Arabidopsis thaliana: one gene and its partner. The protein of the gene in region 1 purifies or fractionates together with the protein of each later gene. This does not show direct contact. Each region holds a gene or a part of one and is shown in the gene's direction. Other genes may lie near its edges.

Region 1 (3,752 bases):
AGCCAATCTTTTTATACTATTCTTATCTAAGTAATTAATAGATATATATCCTTTTTTATAATGGGTTCCTCAGCCGTGAGTAATATACTTAGCTCCCACACTTACCTAATCTTTTGTATTTTTTTTTTCATTTTTGGGGGAAATGATTATGATTATTGCTGATACATTACAATATCCATATCCGTTTCCACACGAATACCTTTAGACTTTGGACAATACTATAAATTAAAAGCTTACAAATTACAAGGAGCTGAATTCTTCTTTTGGCGCCTTCCATTATGCACATAGACTAGTCCAAGTATAATTGTACACATAATTAATTTATCAAATAAAACATAATTAAAATAAAAGTGTATATATATATATATATATATATATATTAAAACATGCGATCTTTATCTTTGGAATAAAGTGGGGGAAAAGAAAAAATAAGCAAACAGAAAGAAGAAAAATGAAAGCAACAGCAGAAGAAGAAAACAATGGAGATTCATATTGTTCACTCTTACTAAACATTTTTTCTTACATCTCAATCAAAAGAAATGAAAAAAAGAAGAAGGAAATTTGGAGAGCATGTGGGGAAAGCTGAAATTGTTATACCAAAATTAGCGAAACGTACAATTGAAAACCAATCGGAAATAATGAAAGTAAACCTTAACTAATTTCATTCAAATAAGTTAAGAGAGTTACTTATAATGTAATTTCAAAATTTAAAAAAAAATTGGGCAAACAATATCAAAGATTTAAGCTGTCTCCGGCTCGTTCATGTAGACTACATGATGTAGTTTGTGTGTGCGTGAAGCAAACATAAACATGGTTCTATCAGTTTCTAGATTCATCCCAACATGTTTCTTGTTCATAATTAAGTAATAGTAAACAATCCAAATTAAGATGATCATAAAGATACAACCATATCTTCTTGACCCTTACCAAATAAGCAGTTTTTTTTTTCTTTTCTCTTTTTAAAGAATTCGATGTGGTTCCAAGTTTAGGAAAGAGGACGGAACTTAAGAAGAGACACTAATTAAGTGACTTAAACCAAGACATGGTGACGAAAAGATCCACAAGAGGCAAGGCATCTCGCGGAATCTGTAAACTTTTTTTGGCTGCTCATAACAGACTTTTACGCTTGATAGTTTCTTTAGAAATATAGTTCTCGTTGAAGACTTTAAATAGCTGATGATTCTTGAAATAGAGATCGAAGGATTGAAAGCTTGCTCAAAATTCTCTCATTGTTAATAAATAATCGTTTAAAGTCTTAATTAGTCCAAATGTTGAAGAAAGTACAGAAAACGATATATTTGAGTGGTGCTGCTGGAACAAGTAGGATAAAATACGTACAAGCAATACAAATCTAGTAAGTGTACATGCATGATCTTCAATTCTTGAGGATTTTGTGGGAAAGATTCTGAAAACTGTACTGGCTTGTTGAATATTCTAAATCTAAAATACAATTTATCAGTAAGTAAGCAAACATGTGCGTCAAAGTTAATCTTTCCAAGCTGAAACAACAATTGCTGAGATATTAAAAAGTTCAACATACTACTCATTGACTTTCTTAACATTTACACCAAAAAGATAAAATAAAAAACTCATTGACGTTTTTCCCTTTGAAGTTAGTAGCCCAAAAAGCATCAAGATAATGTCTGTAAGCCCATGGGCTTATATCCATTATAATTTTTTTTGTCAAATAACAAATAATATATGAAACGACGTCGGTAACAGCTGAAACGACGCCGGTGTTTGTTGATCCAGAACGACAGCGTTTTTAGTTATTCACCCTCTCGAATTTTTCCGAAACCTGTGTTTTCCCATCACCAAGCTTTCTCTGAATCGCCGCCGTGTTTACATTTACTGTTGTTAAGGCCGAGAGATAGATAGAAAAAAACATCTGTGCGATTTTGCCGCCTCTCCCTAAAATCTTTGGAGCTCCTTCGTAGTTAGCCGGAGGTGAAGTACAATAAAAGAAAGAAGAAAGTCCAAGTGTCTCTTCTCATCTCTTTTCTCCAGTAGGTACGTTTTGGTTTAATTTACAGAGTTGATTCTAAGCCTAAGAGAAGGTTTTCTATCGATTAGAGTGTTTGATTTGCTGTAAGGGTTGCTCAAAGTTTTGATTTTTAGTTTACTAGTGATAGCAGATAATGGAGGGGAGATTGGCTAATATGTGGAGGTTGACTGTTAACGAAAGTAAATTCGTGGAAACTGCGTTGCAATCTGAGCTCAGAGTAGATGGTCGTGGCCTTTATGATTATCGCAAGCTTACTATTAAGTTTGGCAAGTAAGTGCTCATAGAACTGCTTATTGATGCCGTTTCTTTTCTGCACTTTGTAGGCTTTGTTTGCTTTCTTTAGCTCTAAAGCTTCCCTCTTTGTCGAGTTTTGTGATAAATTTGAATGTAGATAACTTTGTTCAGTCTATTACCTCTGTTAGAACGAATACTAGCATGCTTTTCTTTTAGTGTTTGTAACCAAAGACAGCTTTTAATCTCGTTTGAATTAACAGAGAATATGGTAGCTCGGAAGTTCAACTTGGTCAGACTCATGTAATGGGTTTCGTGACTGCTCAGTTGGTACAACCTTACAAAGACAGACCTAATGAAGGGTCTCTCTCGATCTTCACGGAATTTTCTCCAATGGCTGATCCGTCTTTTGAGCCTGGTCGTCCTGGCGAATCTGCAGTGGAGTTGGGACGCATTATCGATCGTGGTCTAAGGTAAATGTTTTTTTGGACAAACTTTGTTGATGCTGCAAGAGTATTGCTGGCTGTTCTGGTTGGAGTAATGGTAAGTTGGTCTTTGTGTTGATTGCAGAGAAAGCCGTGCAGTAGATACAGAGTCACTCTGCGTTCTAGCTGGAAAGATGGTTTGGTCTGTTCGCATTGACCTTCATATCTTGGACAATGGAGGGTAAGTTTTGTTGGCTACAGTATATCTCATTGAAGGTTCTGGTTTTAAAATGATCTTTAATGCGTGTTTTTGTTACACATTTATGTATAGGAACTTAGTTGATGCTGCAAATATTGCTGCTTTAGCAGCTCTCATGACATTTAGGAGACCCGACTGCACTGTAGGAGGAGAGAATGGTCAAGAAGTGATCATACATCCACTAGAGGTTAGTCATATGTTTTCGGTTTAGAGAAACTTGTAAGAATTTGTTAAGTGGAGAAGACAGTTCTTAACTTTAACTGTTTGTTCTATCTTTACTTTCTTTTGCAGGAAAGGGAACCACTTCCATTGATAATACATCATCTCCCAATAGCCTTCACGTTTGGATTTTTTAATAAAGGCAACATTGTGGTAAAAACAGTTGTATTTTTAGTGAGAGTCTAGTTTGCTTTTTCTTTTTTCTTTTCTGAGATATAAAGTGTGATGTGTTGTTATATGCAGGTGATGGACCCAACTTATGTTGAAGAAGCAGTTATGTGTGGGAGAATGACTGTGACAGTTAATGCCAATGGCGATATATGCGCAATCCAAAAACCGGGGGAAGAAGGCGTGAACCAGAGTGTAATCCTTCATTGCCTGCGTCTTGCTTCTTCAAGAGCTGCTGCAACAACAAAGATCATTAGAGAAGAAGTAAGGTTTCTGAAATCCAAAGCATATTTCTTTTGAATCCAAAAATATTCAACAACTCATAGTTTGTTGTGCTTTGTTTTCATGGTGTAGGTTGAAGCATATAACTGTGAGAGAAGCTTACAGAAGGTGAAGCGACATCCCACTTTGGCTAAATCTGAAGTTTCTGGACCTACTGTAGCTG
Region 2 (3,752 bases), on another chromosome or scaffold:
GGATGATGATGATTCTTCTTCGTCATCTTCATCAATGTCCCAACTTAAATCTTCATCTTCCTCTGCAGCACTCAGACGTTTACGCAGCTCAGCTCTGTTTGGACTACCACCAGACCGACTCGTTTCCTTACCATCTATGCTACTCATATCCTCGATCTCGTCCCATCCCAAATCCTCTTCAGATGGTTGTTGAGTTGATGAAGAAGCAGCCACATCTGGTTTAGCTGAGTCTTGGGATGGAGCAGCCTCATCAGATTTTGGTTTGACAGAATCTTGGATTGGAGCCTCATCAGATGTTGGTTTGACAGAATCTTGGATTGGAGCCTCATCAGACGCAGGAGGAGCAGCATCAACAAATGATTTTTCTTCTGGAACTTCCTCACTATCAGTCTCCTTCTTTTCCTCAGAATCTTTATCTGTCTTCAAACCAACATTGCTCACTTCAGTCACTGAATCTGCACTTGTCACTTCATCTTGCGTGCTCACTTTAGCCACTGAATATGTACTTTCCACTTCATCTTTCACAGTTTCACTCACATCTCCACCACCCATACCATCATTCCCTTCAAGTTTCAACCTTGAAACATCTTTGGTAGCTTCAACAACTTTCTCGCTGCTCTCCTCTTCATCATCAATATCCCAGCTCAATTCTTCTTCATCATCCAGAGAGATGGCTCGTTTCACAAGATTAGCCCTTAAATCCTCAGCTTGCTTGAGCTTGTTAACCCTATAGAAATACCTAAACCAGAAGGTCTCGTGATCAACCATACTCGGAACGACCCTTTTATACACTCCTTTCATATCACCATTTTCCTCCAACAATTTCTCCATCTCCTCAGCTTTTCCATCCAGAGAAAACGCAGATTCCCACTTTTTGTAATCATCTGAATCCTCAGGCTCTTCACAGTAAGTGTTGAGATCTCCTTGAACAGCACGAATCTGAGCATCGAAACGACTATATGGTTTCGAACTGAAGCTATCACGACGACCAAAACTCTGACTACTATTGTTATCAGAAGAATCAGATTCATTACCAGCGGCTAAAATCGCTTCCTTACCTTGAGCAATAATCTCAGCCGTACCTTTTAGCACCGTGTTCCCAAGCTCATCAATCGCATGTCCCACCGTACCAAGCGATCCCTGAGCCACCTCGATCTCTTTCTTCAAACCTGTGCCAAATTCTTCGAGATCTCGTCGGTAGGTTTCAATCACGGATTCGGATCTGGTGGCTAGAGTTTTCATCAGACCACCGAAGCTCCATCCACCGTCGTCGTTAGATTCAGATTGCTCTGGATGTTCTTGCTCTGGATGTTCATGCTCTTCGCTGTGTTTCGGTGAATCGGATTCGGATTCGGTTTCTGGAGGATCTAGGTCTTCCGTGAAGACGGATTTGAAGAAATTCATAGCGTAAAGCTCAGATCTTACCAATCGGTACTCTCAGATAATTTGTTTGATCCGTGAAAGAATCAATTTGAAGAGTGAAGGATTCGAATTAGCGTCAGAAATAGGAAGATCACAAAAGACTTGAAGCTTGTCGCTGCAGAGACGTCTAATTTTTTTCCCATTTTTTTAATGAAGATAAATAATACTTTATTTGGCGTCAATTATCAGATTAATGGGCCAGAAGTTTTATAAATGGGCCAGAAGTTGGATATGTTAGTCCAACAAATAACACAAAACCCTAGAATTCATTCAAGGGAACTAACGTCAAGGTTTTTGCTCTTCTTCTCTCCCAAGTCCCAAACTCGTTTTGCATCGCCATTGTTGTGTTGCTGGAGCTAAATAGAGAGAAAGAGAGAGAGTGTCTGTGATGGTGATGAGAAAGCTACAGTTACCGTTGAGCCAGACGCAGAAGGTTAGGTTTGAGAGAGCAATCGAGCGGCTTCAATCACTGTCGTCGTCGGCTAACTCTGACGCTTCTGTTATCGTCACCGACTCTATTCCCGTCAACCATGACGATGCCTTCCTCAAGTAATTTCATCTCATTCTCCCTTCTGGATTGAAATTTTTGTCAAATTGCGTTTTCACGATTGGTTTTTTCATTAAAGGGGACATGGAACTTCCGAGGTCGATGGTGAGTTGCTCGCGACGGTCTGTGGAGTAGTGGAGCGTGTGGATAAGCTTGTCTATGTACGCACCTTGCGAGCCAGGTCTGTGATTGATCTTTGAATTTGTTTAGTTTCCCAGAAAATGTGAATAGAATGGACTCTCTACTCTGAGATTAAGTAGAACTGATGGTTTTGATGATCTACGTTTTAGGTACAAGCCTGAAGTTGGGGATATTGTGGTAGGCCGTGTCATTGAGGTAGATTTTTGTTTTGGTGTTTGGATTTTTGAAATCGGATTGAGTGAGTAACATAAAGGTTTCAATCACATTGCACAGTTACTGGATTGATCTTTACTTATTCAGGTTGCTCAAAAACGTTGGAGAGTGGAGCTCAACTTCAATCAGGATGGAGTACTGATGCTTTCTTCCATGAACATGCCTGATGGTATTCAGGTACAGTTTGATTCTTGATATTTTGCCATTTGGATGATTGCTTTTGGCTTCAATGATATAAGTTTATTGTTGTTGCCAGAGGCGAAGAACCTCTGTGGATGAACTCAATATGCGGAATATCTTTGTAGAGCATGATGTCGTATGTGTAAGTCCTGTGATTAGTAATGTTCCAATCTTTACATATCTTAACAGTTACGTCAACCTGACTAAAAGGGTTCCCTCTTTGGTTTGTTCAAACTCTTAGGCTGAAGTACGCAACTTTCAGCATGATGGTAGCTTGCAGTTACAAGCCAGAAGTCAGAAGTATGGCAAGGTTGGTTCTCATTTGGTCACATGCTCATGTAGTTATACCTTTCGCTAGTCTCTTCCTCTGAACATTGATTAATCCATGAATCGCTACAGCTCGAGAAGGGACAACTTCTGAAGGTCGATCCTTACTTGGTTAAGAGAAGCAAACATCACTTTCATTACGTAGAAAGTCTTGGGATTGATTTGATTATTGGCTGCAATGGTTTCATATGGGTTGGAGAACATGTCGAAGTGAGAGATCCTATGGCAATAGATGATCAGAAAGATGAGGAAATGATCTCATCCTCCTCCACAGGAAAAGAGCAAAGCCATATTCCACTCGAGACTCGACAAACCATATGCAGAATCGGGAATGCGATACGTGTCTTGTCTAATCTAGGCTTCACCGTGACACTAGAAGTAATCATGGAGACTGTTAACCTCAGTAACTCAAAGAATATTGACATACATGATATGCTTGGATCAGAGTTTCACGTTGTGGTAGCAGAGAATGAAGCTGAAAGAAGACGTACAAAGAGGAAAAAGTGAAAACTACCCCTTTTTGTCACTGATGTATCAGAGACTTGTAACGTGTATTAGATCATTCGGTCTTGTTTGTTACTCAGCTTCTATTGAAAGTTCGAATTTTAATCTGATTGAGATATGTAGTATGATGGATGTGTTTGATACTATTAACTGTACATCAGATTAGATTAGTCGAGTTATGTCTTTTGGAGACGGCTTTCTTCTTTCATTCATGAATTTATCGGTTTCGACTTTTGTAGCTGAAATTCGTTTTGTGAAAGGATCTACAGTTGCAGAAACAACATAGAAAAGATTCGCTGCCCTTTTTAGCTCGGAGAAGGGATAATTGGGAAATGACTAAAATACCCTCATGAGAATCCAAGTAATAACAGCGATTACCAAACCTCTTCTCTCATTCACGAAACAGTGTTCTACGGCC

What was found.
Region 2: the proteins of CER7 (region 1) and RRP4 fractionate together in Arabidopsis thaliana (co-fractionation; one large-scale study listed by BioGRID). This does not show direct contact.

The regions. Positions count from the first base shown.
Region 1 is NC_003074.8:22,352,107-22,355,858, forward strand, and holds the start of CER7 (3'-5'-exoribonuclease family protein), read left to right. Parts: upstream 1-1,793; 5' UTR 1,794-2,010; intron 2,011-2,118; exon of another isoform or gene 2,119-2,135; 5' UTR 2,136-2,138; coding exon 2,139-2,275; intron 2,276-2,499; coding exon 2,500-2,709; intron 2,710-2,806; coding exon 2,807-2,902; intron 2,903-2,992; coding exon 2,993-3,107; intron 3,108-3,211; coding exon 3,212-3,292; intron 3,293-3,382; coding exon 3,383-3,571; intron 3,572-3,661; coding exon 3,662-3,752. UniProt on the Arabidopsis thaliana protein: Probable 3'->5' exoribonuclease involved in the regulation of cuticular wax biosynthesis by controlling the expression of CER3. May act by degrading a specific mRNA species encoding a negative regulator of CER3 transcription.
Region 2 is NC_003070.9:822,843-826,594, forward strand, and holds RRP4 (ribosomal RNA processing 4), read left to right. Parts: upstream 1-1,674; 5' UTR 1,675-1,810; coding exon 1,811-1,971; intron 1,972-2,048; coding exon 2,049-2,150; intron 2,151-2,259; coding exon 2,260-2,305; intron 2,306-2,410; coding exon 2,411-2,500; intron 2,501-2,579; coding exon 2,580-2,645; intron 2,646-2,744; coding exon 2,745-2,813; intron 2,814-2,902; coding exon 2,903-3,337; 3' UTR 3,338-3,557; downstream 3,558-3,752. Other genes in the region: AT1G03350 (BSD domain-containing protein), read right to left, coding at 1-1,404. UniProt on the Arabidopsis thaliana protein: Non-catalytic component of the RNA exosome complex which has 3'->5' exoribonuclease activity and participates in a multitude of cellular RNA processing, maturation and degradation events.